Linked DNA regions of Saccharomyces cerevisiae S288C. Changing the gene in region 2 together with the main gene of any one other region gives a genetic interaction. Each region holds a gene or a part of one and is shown on either strand. Other genes may lie near its edges.

The links. Genes that interact genetically often act in the same process or in processes that back each other up.
Region 1: mutations in BUB2 (region 2) and CIN8 are lethal when combined (synthetic lethality), as found in Saccharomyces cerevisiae (7 studies listed by BioGRID, with this or other methods).
Region 3: of BUB2 (region 2) and LTE1, a mutation in one rescues a mutant of the other (synthetic rescue), as found in Saccharomyces cerevisiae (7 studies listed by BioGRID, with this or other methods).

Annotation. Positions count from the first base shown.
Region 1 is NC_001137.3:36,035-42,109, forward strand, and holds CIN8 (kinesin motor protein CIN8), read right to left. Parts: upstream 3,504-6,075; coding exon 501-3,503; downstream 1-500. Other genes in the region: nitrogen permease regulating protein NPR2, read left to right, coding at 1-220; PRB1 (proteinase B), read right to left, coding at 4,012-5,919. UniProt on the Saccharomyces cerevisiae protein: Elongates the mitotic spindle by interacting with spindle microtubules to generate an outward force pushing spindle poles apart.
Region 2 is NC_001145.3:385,601-389,989, forward strand, and holds BUB2 (Bub2p), read right to left. Parts: upstream 1,422-4,389; coding exon 501-1,421; downstream 1-500. Other genes in the region: STV1 (H(+)-transporting V0 sector ATPase subunit a), read left to right, coding at 1-375; ADP/ATP carrier protein AAC1, read right to left, coding at 1,715-2,644; ferroxidase FET3, read left to right, coding at 3,222-4,389. UniProt on the Saccharomyces cerevisiae protein: Part of a checkpoint which monitors spindle integrity and prevents premature exit from mitosis. This cell-cycle arrest depends upon inhibition of the GTP-binding protein TEM1 by the BFA1/BUB2 complex.
Region 3 is NC_001133.9:101,065-108,385, forward strand, and holds LTE1 (mitotic regulator LTE1), read right to left. Parts: upstream 4,809-7,321; coding exon 501-4,808; downstream 1-500. Other genes in the region: ribosome biosynthesis protein MAK16, read right to left, coding at 1-81; dolichyl-phosphate-mannose-protein mannosyltransferase PMT2, read right to left, coding at 5,208-7,321. UniProt on the Saccharomyces cerevisiae protein: GDP-GTP exchange factor for TEM1, a Ras-like protein, component of the mitotic exit network (MEN).

The DNA of each region.
Region 1 (6,075 bases), on a different chromosome or scaffold from region 2:
AAGACCATCAAAGGTTTCATTTGAAATGCAAAGGGTAAGTTCGTTGGCAACAGGCAAAAGTACTATGCCGAAACTCAGCGACGAAGAAGAAGGTATTCTTGAAGAGTCTATTAGGAATGCCGAAACATTTGATAAAATTTGCGTTTTACTGAGCAAGCCTAAATTAGAAGTCGAAAGCTACCTAAACGAATTAGGAGAATTTAAGGTAATTAATAGCTGAGTTAAAATTAGAGAAATTCATTGTCCATCAAAATGTTTTTTTTTTTTTTTAATATTACAACTTATTTCCGTAAATAAAGATAGTACACACGAATCCAAACGTTTATATAGTTAGCTCTGTGAAAATTTGATTTAGGTTCATCTCTTGGTGTGTTTGGTAGAGGTGGTTTCACACCCTTCTCTTCTGTCTTGCCTTCTAATGAATAACTGAGTATTCTTTACATACTTTGTTTTTATTAACCACTAGTTTGAATATATATTCGACTGAAAGGCAATATCAACTATTCAATCTTTAACATTTTTCTCGAGCCCTCATTGTCCACATTTTCACTGGATTTGTTTTCATCTTCAATTGCATGCTTTTTGGGCGATATTACACTTTGCACTGAATTGCTATTTATGTTTGATAACCTTAACGGCATTTTCTTACTTAGATTTGGTATTTCCTTCAATATGTTCTCGATCATTTCGTCTTTGGTAGCGTTTTCCTTGTTACCATAGTTTTTCATTATGTTTTCAATCGTATTATAGATATCATCCACATTAGTTATATGAGAGTGTGTTGATGTTATCGAATTTTTAATGTTATCTTTCAACATGTTATGCTTGTTAATAAGCTGCTCAAATTGATCATTAAATTTGGTATTGTTCTTCAAAAGGGATATAGCGTTCTCCGATTCTTCCACTTGTCCTTTCATGACTGAAATAGACTCATTCATCGAATTTGATGATGTATCAACAGTACTCTTGATTTGCGATAGCGTCGCTGCCATGCTATTATAGAATTCGTTATTCATGGAGTCACAATCATTTATCAGATCAAATGAATTTTCCCATTTAACGCGCTTGGGTTCAAACAGATCCATTTCTTGATCAATAACCGCGCTGGTTGCAGTTGTCAGATTCTGCATTATTAGTTTTTTATTTTCGTCAAGGTGGTCATTTAGGACCTTTTTAAAGTTCTCAACAAACTCGTTTGTTCTCTTCTCAATATTTTCATAAGTAGAATCCACATGACGATTCAGTAATTCTTGATGGTTATTCTTGAAAAAATGGTTTTTTAAGTACTGTTTCATGTTGTTATTTTCTTCGCTAATATCAGAAAGATTCTCGGCTATATTTTTATAAAATTTTTGGAAATCTACTCTTATTATGTCGATTTTCTCAATAACAACATTGAAGAATTTAGGAGATTCGTTTAAAATTTTCTTCACACAGTCTTTGTACATTAGTTCAGCTTTTTCTTGCATGGTTCTCATAAGAGTCAGTACTTCATTTTTGATCATATCAAGATTTGGTTGGATATTAGTCTCTTGAAGAATACTTTCCTGTTGCATAGTGTTTAATTGTAAAAACAGTGTAGATTTCAATTTTTTAATTTCTTTAGTAATATGCATTTCAAACTTTTGATTAAGGTCAAGTTCTCTTTTTTTGTAATCATGTAGGGCCATTTGCATTACCTCAGTCAACTTCTGTAGTTTGTTATTAAAATCGGATATTTCAATTTCAGTTTTATGCTGTTTATCTAGTTGTGCCCTTAAATGATCTATGGTAGTTTTCAATGATTCTATTTGGCAATTTTGAGATTGAATAGTTTCTTTTGACTTCAATTTATCTTTTACTAGCAATGCATTTTTCGATGTCAAACTTTCAATTTCTCTTTTACATTCTTGAACTTCATTTTTATAACTTTCTAAATCACTGTTCAAATTTTTGTAGTGATCTTGGCTCATATATATTCCTTCTTTGGACTTTGTAGAGAGTAAATCGGATTTAATCTTTGCTAATTCCATAGTTATATTTTTAACCAAAATATCCTTCATTATAAATGAACCCAGTTGCGGCTTGTTCTTAATGTTTTTAGCCTTCGAAGCATACTCTAATGTACTGCAGGTTTCTTCAGAAGTTACCTTTGCAGGCGATATAGTAGCAATTAGTGCGGTTTTCGTATTACCACCCAGGGAATCTTGAAGCAGGCGGGTCAATTTCGATTCACGGAAAGGTATATGGCCGCTTTTATCTACGAGTGCGTTTATGACCCTGCCCAGCGTCAATAGACTTTGGTTGATTGAACCAGCTTCTTTGGCACGTTGATTTAATGCTCCGGATCTGTTGATGTTTTCTGAACCAGCTAAATCCACAAGATTCATTTTGGAAATTCTAAATAGTTCATCCTGATGCTTCTTATACAAAGTGATTGTAAAAATGGTATGAGATCTACTGGAAAAATCGTTCATTTTAGTGGACGCTACTTGCCTATGCTTTAAGCCTTTTTGTAATAGGTTTAGCCCCTCCATAGCATTTGTTATGTGAAATTCTTGCAAATTCTGGATGTATATACCATTAGTTTGGTCATTTGGAGCCATCGAACTTCTTTGACCGTTATTTGTGTTGGTGTTACTAGAAGCATTATTAGTGGTAGAGCCAGAGTTAGAGGAAGAGTTGTTCCTGGAATTCACTGCCTGTTGTTGTTGATACTGTTGCTTGATGGTATTCGGCAGTGATTTTGTCCTTAACCTTTTTCTTAATAGAGCAGCTTTAGGTGTTAGATCATTTAATGACCTCGGAGAACTGTTCCTAGAATTACTCCTGGAACTACTAGCACTGTTGCTAGTGGTATTATTTGCTGTGCTTGAATCAAAAATCCTCAATTTTTTCATAAATTGGCCGTCAAAGCCAGTATTACTAGAGCCGTTGCTATTGCTGTCCAAGAGGTCCTTCAATTCTTCGTTGTAGAGTTCAATGAACGAACATTTTACTACGTAATCGTTCTGTTGTAGTTCCAATGTGTCAAACAACTTCAAAAGAACCCTCGGTATAATTCCTGCTGCATCGCTCAATTCACCATTATATAACTTTTCGTCGCCCGTCATTGTATATGTTTTACCTGTTGACGTCATACCATATACCAGTACGGTGCAATTGTAACCTTTAATGAAATCCTGGAATAATGGGCCCGCCACTTCATCAAAAATTAGATCCTGGGAAGCGCCGGGACCGAAGACTTTGTCCACTGTGTATCTCTTGGCATTCATTTGAGCAGTTATACCGGTATCTCCCGTCGTGTTAATGGAAATTTCTTTAGAACCTGTAATATCTGGAACATTTACCACAACGGAGCTTTTCATACTAATTTCCCTTTCATTCCTTCCTCTGCATCGCACAGCTACAGTGATGTTCAGTTCCTCATTAGGAACAGTGTGACATCCAACCTGAGAGTTGCCATTTTTACTGATGCTGTTGGAGCTTCTATCTTGACCCGTATTTTGGTTTTCCGCTGGCATCAAACAAATTCTTTCTTGTTGTATTTTTTGCGCTTTTATATACTTTTTATTACTTTTTCCTTTGAATTGCTTGCTTCTGTATCTATACTCAACGTTACTTTCTGGCCATACCATAAGTTCTACACCCGCTGTTGAGAAGCGGGTCACAAAGGAAGTCTTTAGATGATGTTATTGTTGCGGCCTTGTTTGTTTGTTTTGTTTATTTCGCGTACCTAATACATCGTCACCACACACGAAAACGAAAACATTTGATCAGATAAGTGATCTGCAAATAAGATATAATAAAAGTAACAGTTATTTATTTAATTAAAAACGCAAATATGTAGTAATACGTGGGACATATAAATTTCATGAATTAAAAAAAAAAAATGAAATTCAGATTGAAAATAATGGGGATATAAAAAAAGTGGACAAACGATAGTGAAGAGGGACTCCGACTTGTAACCTCGAGACGCCTAAGGAAAGAAAAAGAAAAAAAAAAGCAGCTGAAATTTTTCTAAATGAAGAATTAAATAATATTCAATTTATCAAGAATATCTCTCACTTGATCAAAGATTAAATCGGTCTTTGATCCAATGAATTCATCCATGTTCAATTCTTGCTTGAAACCAGATGAATGGGACTTTTTGGTATCATTCCAGAAAGCGGACAAATCTTGACCACCACCGTTGTAGATTAAAACATTTGGAGTGTCTTCAGGGATATCGAACAAAATGTCCTTTGTACTGTAATGAATTAGCTTCTTTTTCAATTGCTGAGGAGTCAAAGAATCCTGGCCCAATTCGAAAAATTCACTATCAGAACCTGGTTGCAAAGACAAAAAGTAGGTCAACAAACCAGCAACGTGAGGGGAAGCCATTGAGGTACCCGATAAAGTGGCGGTGGCGTCATCACTTCCAATGTAGGTGGACAAAATGTTTAAACCTGGGGCGAAAACGTCGACACACTTACCCCAGTTGGAAAAGTAGGCTCTGTCATCGCTCAACGTGGAAGCTCCGACGGTGATGGCCTTGTCAGCAGAAGCTGGGGAGGTATTACAAGCGTCTTGGTTTTCGTTACCAGCAGCCACGGCAAAGTGAATACCGACTTCAACGGCTGCATTAACAGCCAAGTCCAAAGCTGGGGACTTGCCACCACCAAGCGACATATTGGCTGTGGAACCTTTGAACCCCTTTTTCTTTTCTTGGGCTTCTTTTTGGTGCGCCTTTGCGGCATATTCGACACCTTTGACGACATCAGACATGGTACCAGACCCGTTTGATCTCAAGACTTTCACCGCAACAACGTTGGCATTTTTAGCGACACCGTAGTGTTTGGAAGCGATAGTACCGGCACAGTGGGTACCGTGGCCGTTACCGTCGAGATCTTCGTCGTTAAGTGGGATGGTTTTCCCCCAAATGGCTCTCTTTTCGAAGTCCTTGTGGTTGATGTTGACACCCGTGTCAATAACATAGGACGTGACACCGCGACCGGCATCATCATCGTAGAGATACTTGTTGAAGGACCCCAGGTTGAGGCGCTCTCTGTGGGAAATACGGGCCAACCCCCATGGGGCGCTATTTTGAGTGTCAAATTCTGTAGCCTCGACAATAGAGTCTCTCTCAACAAAGTCTACTAATGGGTTTTGACGTATCAAGTCGACAATCTCTTGGGTGAAGTAACCGATGTAACCGGAGAAAAGATTATCGATGTTGAATGAGTCCTGGATACCGCCAGCCTCAGAGGTGGACAAGGAGGTGTCTTTAGTAGAAATGAAGAAAGCGTCTTCGGCAGATAAGTTCTCTACGGATTGAAGTTGTGCCTGCTGGACGTTTTCCTTGTGGAAATCGATCTCTTCTTGAGGGGCACCTCTCTTGAAGACTATAATGTAGCGGTTGGGGATGATCTTGGAGATCGCGTCTGGGTTGAATTGTGCAGTGGACACGAGAGGAGCCAGCCTGTTGTGGTGCCTCCCTTTCTCCAACGTCTTTTCGTGGTGCTTCTTGCCCTTGACTTTCTTACCTTTCATCTTCTTCTCCTCCACCTTATTTTCGTGGCAGCCACCCTTATGGTGAGGCTTCTTCTTCTTATCATCATTATCATCATCATTGGAACTTTCATGCTTAGGCTTCATGCCCTTTCCTCCCTCGTGGGCGCTCCCATGAGAGCCACTTGCACGTTTACCGTTGAATTCCGGAGACTCCTTGTCTTGGCCCTTGCGGCCCTTCTTATGGAACTTTCCATGTTCTTTATCTTCAGAGTCAGATGGCTCCTCATCATCGTCCTTAGTGAATTCCACTTTTCTGGGTCTCTCGTGGTGATCTTCCTTGTTAATCAGTTCGTGGTGGTCGGCGGCATTTTCAAGATTTGGGATGACCAAAGCAGCAGAGATGCTCCCTAGGGCACCGAGTGTAAATAGAGTATTTTCTAACTTCATCTTTGCTTGTTAGAATTAGGTTTAGTTTGTTTTTTTATTGGCGATGAAGCTAATTGGACTCTTAAGTTTGTATGGGAAGAACTCCAATATAACGGGACGTAACATTGGCCCCCTTTTATATTCATCGCGCTCTTTATCGCGGGTGTGTTTGCCCCC
Region 2 (4,389 bases):
AATTTCGGCGATGTCATGATTCATCAGGTAATCCATACTATTGAATTCTGTTTAAATTGTATCTCTCATACAGCATCATATCTACGTCTTTGGGCACTATCGTTGGCGCATGCGCAATTATCTAGTGTTTTATGGGATATGACAATTTCAAACGCTTTCAGTTCTAAAAACTCAGGGTCGCCTTTGGCTGTCATGAAGGTGGTTTTCTTATTTGCTATGTGGTTTGTTTTAACCGTTTGTATCCTAGTTTTCATGGAAGGTACTTCCGCAATGTTGCATGCGCTACGTTTGCATTGGGTGGAGGCAATGTCCAAATTTTTTGAAGGTGAAGGATATGCGTACGAGCCATTTTCATTTCGTGCAATAATAGAATAATAACCTTAAATTACTGTAAATTTTCTCATCTACCCACTGCTTTTTTCGTTTTATTTTTTTTTACACATACAGACATATAAACGTTGTAGAATTAAACGATAAAATATAATATTTCTTCACATAGTTTACGGTATATATATGTCTGGGTCGGTCAAGTGGTCTACCAATAGGTCATAAATTTGAGCAGGGATCTTAGCGATGAACCCGACGCCCAGCCGAATGATCTCGTCAGCATCAAAATCCGGAAACTGTCGTAGTAAATTAACAGGGGAATCCGATTTGAAAACCTTGGATCTCATTTTAACTAGGAATGCCACCACAAAGAGAATATTCATATGGAATCCATATGCAAACATGAAATCCCACAGTTTAATGACCTGATCAAGCGGTTTATTGCAGCTGGATAACGTGAGTATGGAAGGCATACCATAAATCTCTGCTGTAAGTAAATTGTCCGATAGAAATTTACTCAGCTTTGGATCAATGATTCTGAGAGAAATATCTAGTAGTTTGGCGCCGTTCTGGGCGCCGTTTAGGTTCTTAGTTAGATACGTCGGTATCATTTCATAACAAAGCTTAGTGAAAAGTTGATACGCCATAGGTTCAGAAGGACATGAGTAAAGCAGAGGAGCTAATAACACGTTCATGCCCTGCACATATGTGCTCACAGGAATGCGACCAAAACGAGTCTTTTGTCTTCTTTGTTGTGTTTGCCAAGCAAAGCACGACAGACACCGGATGAGGGCATCCTCTGAGACTCTATTTCTAAAGTTTGGATCCGTCTGAAAAGTTCTGGATGTGTCGTTCTTGATTTTTTGGTAAATGGTTGTGGAAGGTGGGCCCAGTTTCAAGAGCGCAAGGTACCGTTGTGTAGACGCCTCCATAGAAGTTTGAGAGAGCACCGTCCACACGTAACATCGCGTGCGCTGCTGCTGTTTATCTTCAGATATGGGAAGCCCTTCACTGAGTATGAGGTAGCGAAGTTGAGAGAGTGAGGAATGCAGTAGCAGGGGAGGATTTGATATCAGATCTTCAATTGAGGTCATGCAAAAGTTAACAAGTTTAAAAGTCTGTTGTTTCTTTTACCTTTACGTCGTTACTATTATTACTATTATTATCATTTTTTTTTTTTTTTTTTTCAATGTTTAGCTTGGCGTACGTAAACGGTTCCCTTCCGCACGGCGTTTACTGAATTGTCAGGACATAAATTCAAAGAAGAAAGAAGACCTCCAGTGTCATTATAGCATAAGACAGGTATGTAGCAAGAATGAATATGTAAATAAATAGCAAGAATATGTAGAATTTTTAGATTTTATTCGTTTGTTGTTTTCTTTTTTTTTCACTTGAATTTTTTGCCAAACATTATGAGTTGCAACTGATCGTACAATGAGATGACACCAGCTGCAGCGACTCCTCTAAATATGTTGGCACCACAGCCCTTGAACAAGGAATACGCGCCCTCTTTCTGAACAATCTTTCTCAAACAGTCCAGAGCACCGTCGTACTTGATGGTCTGGCCCGAAGTCATCATCATCCTTCTTCTTACCGTATCCAAGGGATACGACGCAGTGGAAGCACCCATGGTAATGACCCAACCTAATAGGAAAGAGGCAACAAAGGACCCCTCTAGAGCCCCCGTCAACAGCACAGGCTTGAAAGAATCGTACAAGCCAAAGTACAGACCTCTGTAGACAATGATACCCAGAACTGAGGGCACAAACCCACGGTACAGACCCAACAACCCGTCCGTTTTCAGTGTCTTCTTATACACGTCTAGCAATCCATTAAACTGTCTTTGCGAGGTTGACTTAGAACCCCTAGCATCCGCTGCAAGCCGCGTCCTTGCGTAGTCCAAGGAATATACAAATAGAAGCGACAAACCACCAGCCGCTCCACCAGAGAAAAGATTTCCAGCAAACCACTTGGCATACCCATCGCGCTCTCTGTCGTAACTCAACAACGACTTAATTTTGTCTTTGAAGGCAAAATTCAGCGCCTGCGTGGGGAAATACCGGAGAACATTGGCGGTGTTACCCCTCCAGAACGACACAATACCTTCATGAGTCGCAGTCCTCTTGAAGCAATCTAAAATTCCCTTGTACCGTGTATCCAACGAGCCCTGTTTAAGCATCTCTTCTTGATTCTGCATCAACAGTTTCACCCGTTCAATGGGAGCGGCACCCGTCTTCGCAATGGCAGCAGAAACGCCGCCCATAAGGAAGTCCACACCGAAGTGTGACTGCTGAGTCTGTGTTTCTGTGTGAGACATTACTGCTGTAAAAAGGAAAAATAGAAAAGAATAACAGATACGAGAATCTGTGCTGCCTTCTTTGCGATAATGCCTTGGCTTGCCTATTTCACGGTTACAGGAATAATAACATGTTCATACCGTTTCAGGACCAATAAATGGTCTTCTGCGAGAGAAAAAGGACACTCTCCGTCCGACAGAAATAAGCTTTACTTTCCGGGTGCGAATCAGCCCGTTGCGCCTGGGGTGGTCCCTACAGTACGCTGAGTCGCCGATAAAGACCCTCCGCCTAGAGCTAGGCGAGGCTGACTTAGGCAGGCCCAACAGGCAAGGCCCATCTTCAAAAGTGCACCCATTTGCAGGTGCTCTTATTCTCGCCAATTGCGACAGAAAATGAAGGATGCACTCAAACAGTCGATCCTTCGAGGGAGTATGCCAAGGCCTCGTGCATGTAGTGCGATTATATATATATATATATATATATATATATGTATGTAAGCAGGCCATGCCCTATAGCTCTTGTTCTATAAGCGATGGATAGGCATAGGAAACGAAGAGGACCCCAGTGTAAGGAAGAGTAGCAAAAAATTAGAACTAGATGACTAACGCTTTGCTCTCTATAGCCGTTTTGCTTTTCTCGATGCTCTCGCTAGCACAAGCGGAGACGCACACGTTTAATTGGACCACTGGCTGGGACTACAGGAACGTTGATGGGCTAAAGAGCCGTCCCGTGATCACCTGTAATGGCCAGTTCCCATGGCCAGATATAACGGTCAACAAAGGTGACCGTGTGCAGATTTACTTGACCAACGGAATGAACAACACCAATACTTCTATGCATTTCCACGGTCTCTTCCAAAACGGAACCGCCTCTATGGACGGTGTGCCCTTCTTGACGCAATGTCCAATTGCGCCAGGCAGTACTATGCTTTACAATTTCACGGTGGACTACAATGTAGGCACCTACTGGTACCATTCACACACGGACGGTCAATATGAAGACGGGATGAAAGGTCTTTTCATCATCAAGGATGATAGCTTCCCCTACGATTACGATGAGGAACTTTCTTTATCGCTTAGTGAGTGGTACCACGACTTGGTCACGGACTTGACGAAGTCGTTCATGAGTGTTTATAATCCGACAGGTGCTGAGCCCATCCCACAGAACTTGATTGTTAACAACACGATGAATCTGACATGGGAAGTCCAGCCCGATACGACGTATCTTTTGAGAATTGTCAACGTGGGTGGGTTCGTTTCGCAGTACTTTTGGATCGAGGACCACGAAATGACCGTGGTCGAAATCGACGGTATCACTACCGAGAAGAACGTAACGGATATGCTTTACATCACTGTCGCTCAGAGATATACAGTCCTGGTTCACACTAAAAACGACACGGACAAAAATTTCGCCATCATGCAGAAATTTGATGACACCATGTTGGATGTCATTCCAAGTGATTTACAGCTGAATGCAACCTCTTATATGGTCTACAACAAAACCGCTGCGCTGCCCACACAAAATTACGTGGATTCAATTGATAACTTCTTGGACGATTTCTACTTGCAACCGTACGAGAAAGAAGCCATCTATGGCGAGCCAGATCATGTGATTACCGTTGACGTTGTTATGGATAACTTGAAAAACGGTGTGAATTACGCCTTCTTCAATAATATCACCTATACTGCACCAAAAGTTCCTACTTTGATGACCGTTTTGTCTTCAGGTGATCAAGCAAACAACTCCGAAATCTACGGTTCAAACA
Region 3 (7,321 bases), on a different chromosome or scaffold from region 2:
AAAATTTTGACCATTAGGTGCCTTAATTCTATGAGAGCAGAAACTTTGATTAATCACTTGCCAAACAATTTCGTCGGACATATCCTCGTTGTATTCTAACCGTTGTAGTTATGTACTGAAGAGAACACTGTCAAAAGAAAGAACTAAGCAATGCAATATCTGCCTCTATACCAATCACTTTTTCATTTTTTTTCAAAAGCTCATCGGAAAATTTTTCAAAAAAAAAAAAAAAAAAAAAAAAGGTTTATTACCCTACTGCATTTTGATAATCTGAACATAATGAGCTAATGAAAGCAATTCTCATTTAAAAACAAGTATTCTCTCTTATTGAAGTATGCATTATCTATCATTATAAATTCTTTTATTCTGTTCGAGTCCATGTTTTTAAAAAAAAAAAAACATGTATGTATGCTCCATCTATATATGCTCCATCTGTATATTTTATATGCAAAGTTTTTTACAAGAGGAATTTGGGAACTGGAGGAAAGTGGCACAATACCTCATGTGGATAGTTCATTAATCTCTTCTTGTGTTAATGTGCTAATATAAACACACTTACTCAGCAATTCGTGGTTAACTTTGAAAGTGTAAAACTTGGACCATTGAACCCTTTGAATGAAATTCTTGACTATTTGAACGTTCGTATCGAATTTATTGTAATTCACTACTTTATCTTCTAAGATCCAGTCTTTCTTCTCTGCGTTTGCTGATAGGTCCGAAAGATATACGACGATGAAAGGGACGCAACCCACCAGTGGATTCACAGAGTTAAGTAGATTTCTTATTGTAGAATAATTCCTGTCTAGCGAGGGAATCTTCTTTAGCTCTTCCCAAGTCAGTAAGTCGCCTGGTTCAATCAGACGCCATGCATCAGTGAATTTTTGAACAACTGAAGAACTTAAGGCTAGAATGATTTCCATCAATGTGTTAAAGTTCTGAAATGTCCTGCAGTGGTCTGCAACGTGTATAAACCTTTGAATGACATTTCTTTTCATTTTGCTGCTCTTGGTAAGAAGTATTTCTGATATAATCCAATCCACAGTTAAGTTAAATCTGGATATAGCTAAATCAATGCCAGATAAGGTCTCGTTCCTTACTAGTAGTTGCAACCAACTTATAACTTGTGGGCCTTCATGCTTCATCTTTAAATCTAATAAATCTTTCCAGTCTATTTCTCCTAAAATTTCCTTCTCTATCAAGGTCATTTGTTGCGCTACAGACAGGGAATCGTACATTAGTATAAATGGAACGTGACTTTCATTATTAGAAATCATTAATCTCGAATCGTGAATCCTGTATTGACCGATTAATTCCTGGATTTGCGCCGCTTGCACAGCAACATCAACATTAGCTGACACGTCTATTTTTTCAGGAGAGGAGGAAGTAAAGCCTTCCTTCTCGGATTGATCTGGAGTAAAGGGGATATTCATTATAGTTTGTCTCCTTCTTTCTATTAATAACGATTTTCTTTTTTCTGCGGGGCTATTTTGGAATGACGGCAAGTTGTTAAGGTTTAGCATTTCCACTTCATCTGCTAACTTGCTCGTTTTAATTCCAATAGCGTCACTACTCTTGGTGTTCTCTGGTTTTTCGGGAATTTTCTCGTATGTACCTTCCAGTTTCATTAATGCCACGGTTATTGGATCGTCATTAATTGAATCATCGAGCATATTAGCAATTTCATTTAAATTTTTCTTATTCAAGGAGCCTGTAAAAGCCGACTCAGAGTTTGCTCTCCGTGTGTTCCGGGCACTAGATGTGTCATTAATGTCGATATCGTCCATTGTCAATACACTTCCTGATATGTTACTATTAGTTTCACTCTCGTTCTTCAGAAATTTACTTTTCAGCTCTTCAACGTTTTTCATTGGAGAAGCAACGTCAATGCTACCGTCATCTGGTGAAAAAAAATACTTGTTGTTTTTCGCATGGGTACTTGGACTTTCTAGGTCATTATTGGAATCGCTTAAATCAATTGTTTTTAACTCATGCAATGAAGAAGTATTTGAGATTATATCTTGATTACCCCTTTGATATTCTTCTCTCAAATTTATTATCCTTTGGTGTGGCACTGGTAAATCTCTGGACGTTTCGAAAGTTTCAACTGTGCTACCAGTGGTAATCGAATTCAAATCACTTACAACAGATTCTATTGTGGGTGCTATGGATAATCTGATTCTATTGGTTTCACTCACGCTGGTCCCGTTGGGAAATTCTCTCTGTGGATTTTGAGTTTGTTTTAGAGGACTATTCTGAGCAGATTCAAAAAGCTTGCTCGTTGAGATACTGATAACGGTGGACGATGTATCAGAGTACAACGCGCTTTTTTTATTATATTCCAGGTTGAGAGGTTCTATTTCACTTATTTCCTCTATAACTGAGTTTGACTTGTTTTGCTCAGGATCTACTATGGATAACTCTTTGGTTGGTGTTATGGCAATGCTTTGAACTCTTGAAATGCTGATCCTTCCACTAGCCGGTCTTACAACTGCTTGTTTGATCTTGTGATTGCAAGATGAATGTTTTTTTCTTGTAGTTATATCATAATTATTGGCTTCTGATGATGCATCGAGTGAGTTGTCCAGCTTTTTTGTGCTCTCATATTCTGATTCCTGATTTTCTTTGTTATCATAATTCTTTTCAAGGCCATCTATAGTACTCTTTTTCTCATCTAAAGACTTGGTATCTTCAAATGTAAACTCTCTTAGATTTAAAAATCCAGTTTTTGTTTTTAGAGTTGGACTATCTGTATTATTCACGATGTTTCTGACTTTTCTTGACTTTTTCGTTACAGTATCTCTGGGTGGAGAGCTGGATGACAACTCGGAATCGTATGAGTATGTTATTGATTCTGTGTCTTCCCTACTATCGTTTAAGGGAGACGATTCTTTAAGATCAGGTAGAACATTTTTCAGAGGCGAAGAAGTCATGCTTTTTTGGGATTGGGAATGATTTTTCCTCCTTGGTGTCATATTTGTAATCGCTTCTGAGTTGGTTTTATCAGTTTCATGGAATAACAATCTTTGAGGTCCATTCTCGTCTGTACGTGAAGAACTATTATCTTTATCAAAGAGCCTCATACTTTCTGCTGAGTAGCTACCGTGCATTTTATTGTAATATGCTGTCGTGAGACTTTTTACTTTCCTTCGTTGCAGTGCATCATACGAGGGTGATGGCTGCATATTCGATTCATTGTTCTGCAGTTGCTTGTTTAAAGTATTAGTTAAAGAGATGACTGACTGAGCAATTGAACTTACGGTTTGATACAGATCCAAATTGTCCATAGCGCTAAAATTATCATTACTCGGTTTAAAGCTATTTTGTTGTAAAATCTTTATATCATGTATGTGTTCCCGACGTTCACAATCAACATTAACTGTAGGACCTCGGTTGTTATTCGAATGTGTTTGAACTTTTTCTATCAGCTGGTTTTGTAAATGCAGTAGGGACTCCACTTCATCTATGGTTCTTGCACTTAGGATGTCAAATTTAGAAGAATCAGAGTTAAGAAACTCTTCCTCTTCTTCCTTGGAAGATTTTCTATTGAGAGATGATATTGATACAACGTATTTGACAAACGCATCCATTTCAGGTTTCTGGTTTGCTGGTTTAATAGCACTCATAAATTTTTTATCATTACTGCTATCATGGCGATTATGGTTTTTCATCCACTTAGCTAAAAGACCAATAGCGCTGCGATGTAACACAGACATTGAAGATGTATTAGATCTACTATTACTGTTGCTATTGTTATCTAGAGATGATGTCGTCGATGTACCTTGAAGCGTTCCGCTTTGTTCATTTAAATCTTCAGGAATATATAAGGAATTCAGAATAAATTCAACTTTTTTAGCCGGTGTTGGAGGCATTATTTTATCGACTGCATATGATGACGGGTAGTCTACGCCTTTCATTAGTGTGGATACTAGAGTGACTTTTGACAAGTGGCTGATCTTTTGTTTACTATCTGACATGTCCTCGCTTTCATTATCAACTGAAGGTTCTTTCGCTATTCGGTGCTTCGAGTAAACATTTGATGTATTATCGGGAAATAAAAGCATAGAAGGGCTTCTCTGGTTTTTGGAAGAATTTGAAGACTGTAGCTTCTCCGGCAGTCTAAATACATCAGAAGTTTTATATAATGATAAAACGCTTTGGTTACGAAAATCAGGACTGGCAAAACTTTGCCTGGCGTAAATGCTCAGTCGGCTTCCTCTTTTGTGTAGGCTTTCTAGTTGCGTGAAATCCTTTAACGAATAATGCAGCCATGCATCAAAGTCTAATTTATCAGGTTCATTTAGTTCAATATTCTCCCAAACCAACTTAGAACAATGCACCCAGTTTTTTTTCAGATTGATTATACAGCTGGAAATTATTTTTGGGTACTGTTCAATGTGTTTGTCGTTTAGAAACTCGATCAACCGAAGTCTTAATGTTATGTTCGGTAAAAAATCTTGCACAAAATAATTCAGTATGGAATGCCTCAACAACACAAACGTCCTCACGAGGGCAACTTCACCAATTCGCCTTCTCTTAGCTTTTGCAGCATTTGTTGTGATCTCCCTAATACACCATCGAAATCTATAGATGAGTAAGTCGTGTAAGTCTTGAGGCGTTATAAAATTCCTATAAATAAGGAAAAAATCTGCAGATGCGTTGTAGTCTACACCTTCCAAAGGGGAAGAAAGGTGTACAATTAACGCGGGCAGGTCTGCACTATTCACTGGTTTGGATACACAATCGCTTTCATAGCTAATAACATTTGAGGATGGAGTCGGGTAGTAATCTTTCTGGCTAAATATTTCCATGGTTCAGGGTAGCGAATCTTTGAATGGCTAGAGGCTATGTAAAGCAAACAAAAAGGTTCGCGTAAATCAACGAGCGAATAACACGAGTACGGTTGGGGTGGGCTAAAGGGTTCAAGAAATTATCAGTTTCTGTTTACAGTTTTTTTTTCATTGTTGATAAAAAGATCAAGAATTTCATTATTCGCGAAAATCAAAATGCAGAAAGGAAAAAATAGAAGGGTAATAAAACAGCATCGGATCGCAAAGATGAGTAAGGAGAACAGCCTGGTTAACAATTAAAGAGTGTTTATCGAAATTCATTATATAGTGGTTTATATAGACCACTTCTTCTGCTGGTTGATATAGAAATTTTATTTAATTCTTGTTTTTTACTTATGTACTTACTACGATGATCTTAATTCATGCTTCTTGCTTGTCGGCAATGTCCCAAGTGGAAAACCAGTTTAAGTAGCGGAAGTTACTACTTGGTCCCTCCATACCAAATGATATTGGGGAGAAGTACCAGAAGCAACCAATTACAAGTGCCATGAATCCGGCGTATAGGACGAACCGCATGATACGGCCGCACTTAGATCTGGACCATTTTTGCAAACCGGCGTCGAAACAGTACGCCAAAATGATCAGTGCAAAATACAAGGCAGGCAAGTAATGATGAACGTAGGTGACTCTAGACATGATAACGAATGGCATGTAGTGTAGGCCCCAAGCTAGTAGTGGGTAGAACCCGCCCATTAAGAAAACGTTCCAGTTAGATGGATTTCTTAGGTCCACATATTGTCTTTGCCATCTGATCAGTAAGATAACGACCGTGGCCATGAATGCGAGGACGGCAACACTAGAAGCCCACGTGGAAGCTGGGGTACCCAATAGGAAGTATTTTGGATTATCATCACCCCAGCCACATAGTCTCAAACCCACATTCAAAGTTGGCCATTGCCATGCTGAGGAAGCTAAGTAATCAAATTTGTCTGGATCTGGCACCAAAGCGTTATTAGTGGCCATCATGGCTAGATTTAAATGAATGAAGTCTTTTAAGAAGTTGGTCTTTGGGTATTGAAAATCTTCGGGTCTTGGTGGCAACCTTTCATTTTCGTGGGTCTCGATGTTCCACCAGGTCCTCTTGTCCCTCTTGAATGGGTTTTTCATGCAGACAACCTCTTGTTGTCTGAAACCCCATTCGGGCAAACTGTTACCGGTTTGAGCCAAGTAACAGCCCATCTCCAAGTTCTTGATACGGAAAGAGGTGGTCAATGTGTGCAACTTCTCAGGGTCTTCATCTCCTCTTTGGTCCATGATCTCAATAACCCAATTGTCTTTGTTGTCACCAACAACATTGTCACCGTAACCAGAAACCTCCCATTGTGTCTTTGACACTGGTGCAGCAACTGGGTGGGTGTGCAAGTTTCTGCCCGTGCTTTTGTGTACCAATCTATAGGAGGTACCTGGCTTCAAATACTCGATGTCAGTTTCGTTTTCTGACCATGATGGTAAGCCTCTTTCTCTGTTGAAAAACCATTCGTTGTTAGCATCTTTGTAACCATAACAGGTTACTTGTTGTTGGTTGGACCCATCTGGATAAGTTTGTATATGTGAGTGCAATAGAGATCCTCCAAGAGCTTGGTTTTTGATGGAAACAACGGAGGAACCTAGAGCAATGTCACGGGGGCCTTGTCCGACGTCAGAACCCACTAATCTTGCTTGGAAAAGAGATGGCATGTTAGCATCACCTGTACCAGAATGCGATAATAGGTCAAAATGTATTTTGAAGCACAATAGGAAAATGCAGAAGGGGACGATAATAAGACCAAATATTCTTGCCAACCAGTGGTTAATATAGGTTTTCCATGACATGGATTTATCTGCCAAAAAGGTCCATAAGTCAATCACAGTATAGATACCGACCATAGTGATGATAAATAGACCCACCATTTTGACGGAAATAGTGCAACCCAAAGAAATACCAGTGATCAACAGCCATTTCCACCACTTTCTAGAGAACGGCTTGGACCTCTGGTTGTGGAACATAACAAAACTAAAGAACGATGCGACAGTGAAGAAAAGTAGCATGGAGTCCAAAAGAATGAACCTGCCCAAAGTACTATACGAGTTTTCAAACAAAACCAACACGGTCATCAGCCAAACTGTTGGTAAAGAAAATCCAATAGCTTTGGCAGTGAAGTAGGCCAATGGCACACAGAGCGCGGAAAATGACGCGTTGAACAGTCTCATTTTAACATAATCCAAATAGTCTGGGTAAATTTCCCCAGAAGGGAAGTCCCAAGAACCGTTGTAGCCTGCCAAATAACCAGACAACCCGACCAGCATTTTTCCTAGGGGAGGATGGACATCGTGGTAAAATTCGTGTCTCAAGTAATAAGAACCAAATTTACCAAAGTGCGCCTCATCCCAAACAACATGGTTGTTGATGCCGATTTTGTACATCCTGGTAAACAACGCCAATGCAGTAAAGATCACCGGCATTACAACGGATTCCAGGCGTAACAGTGAGCTTT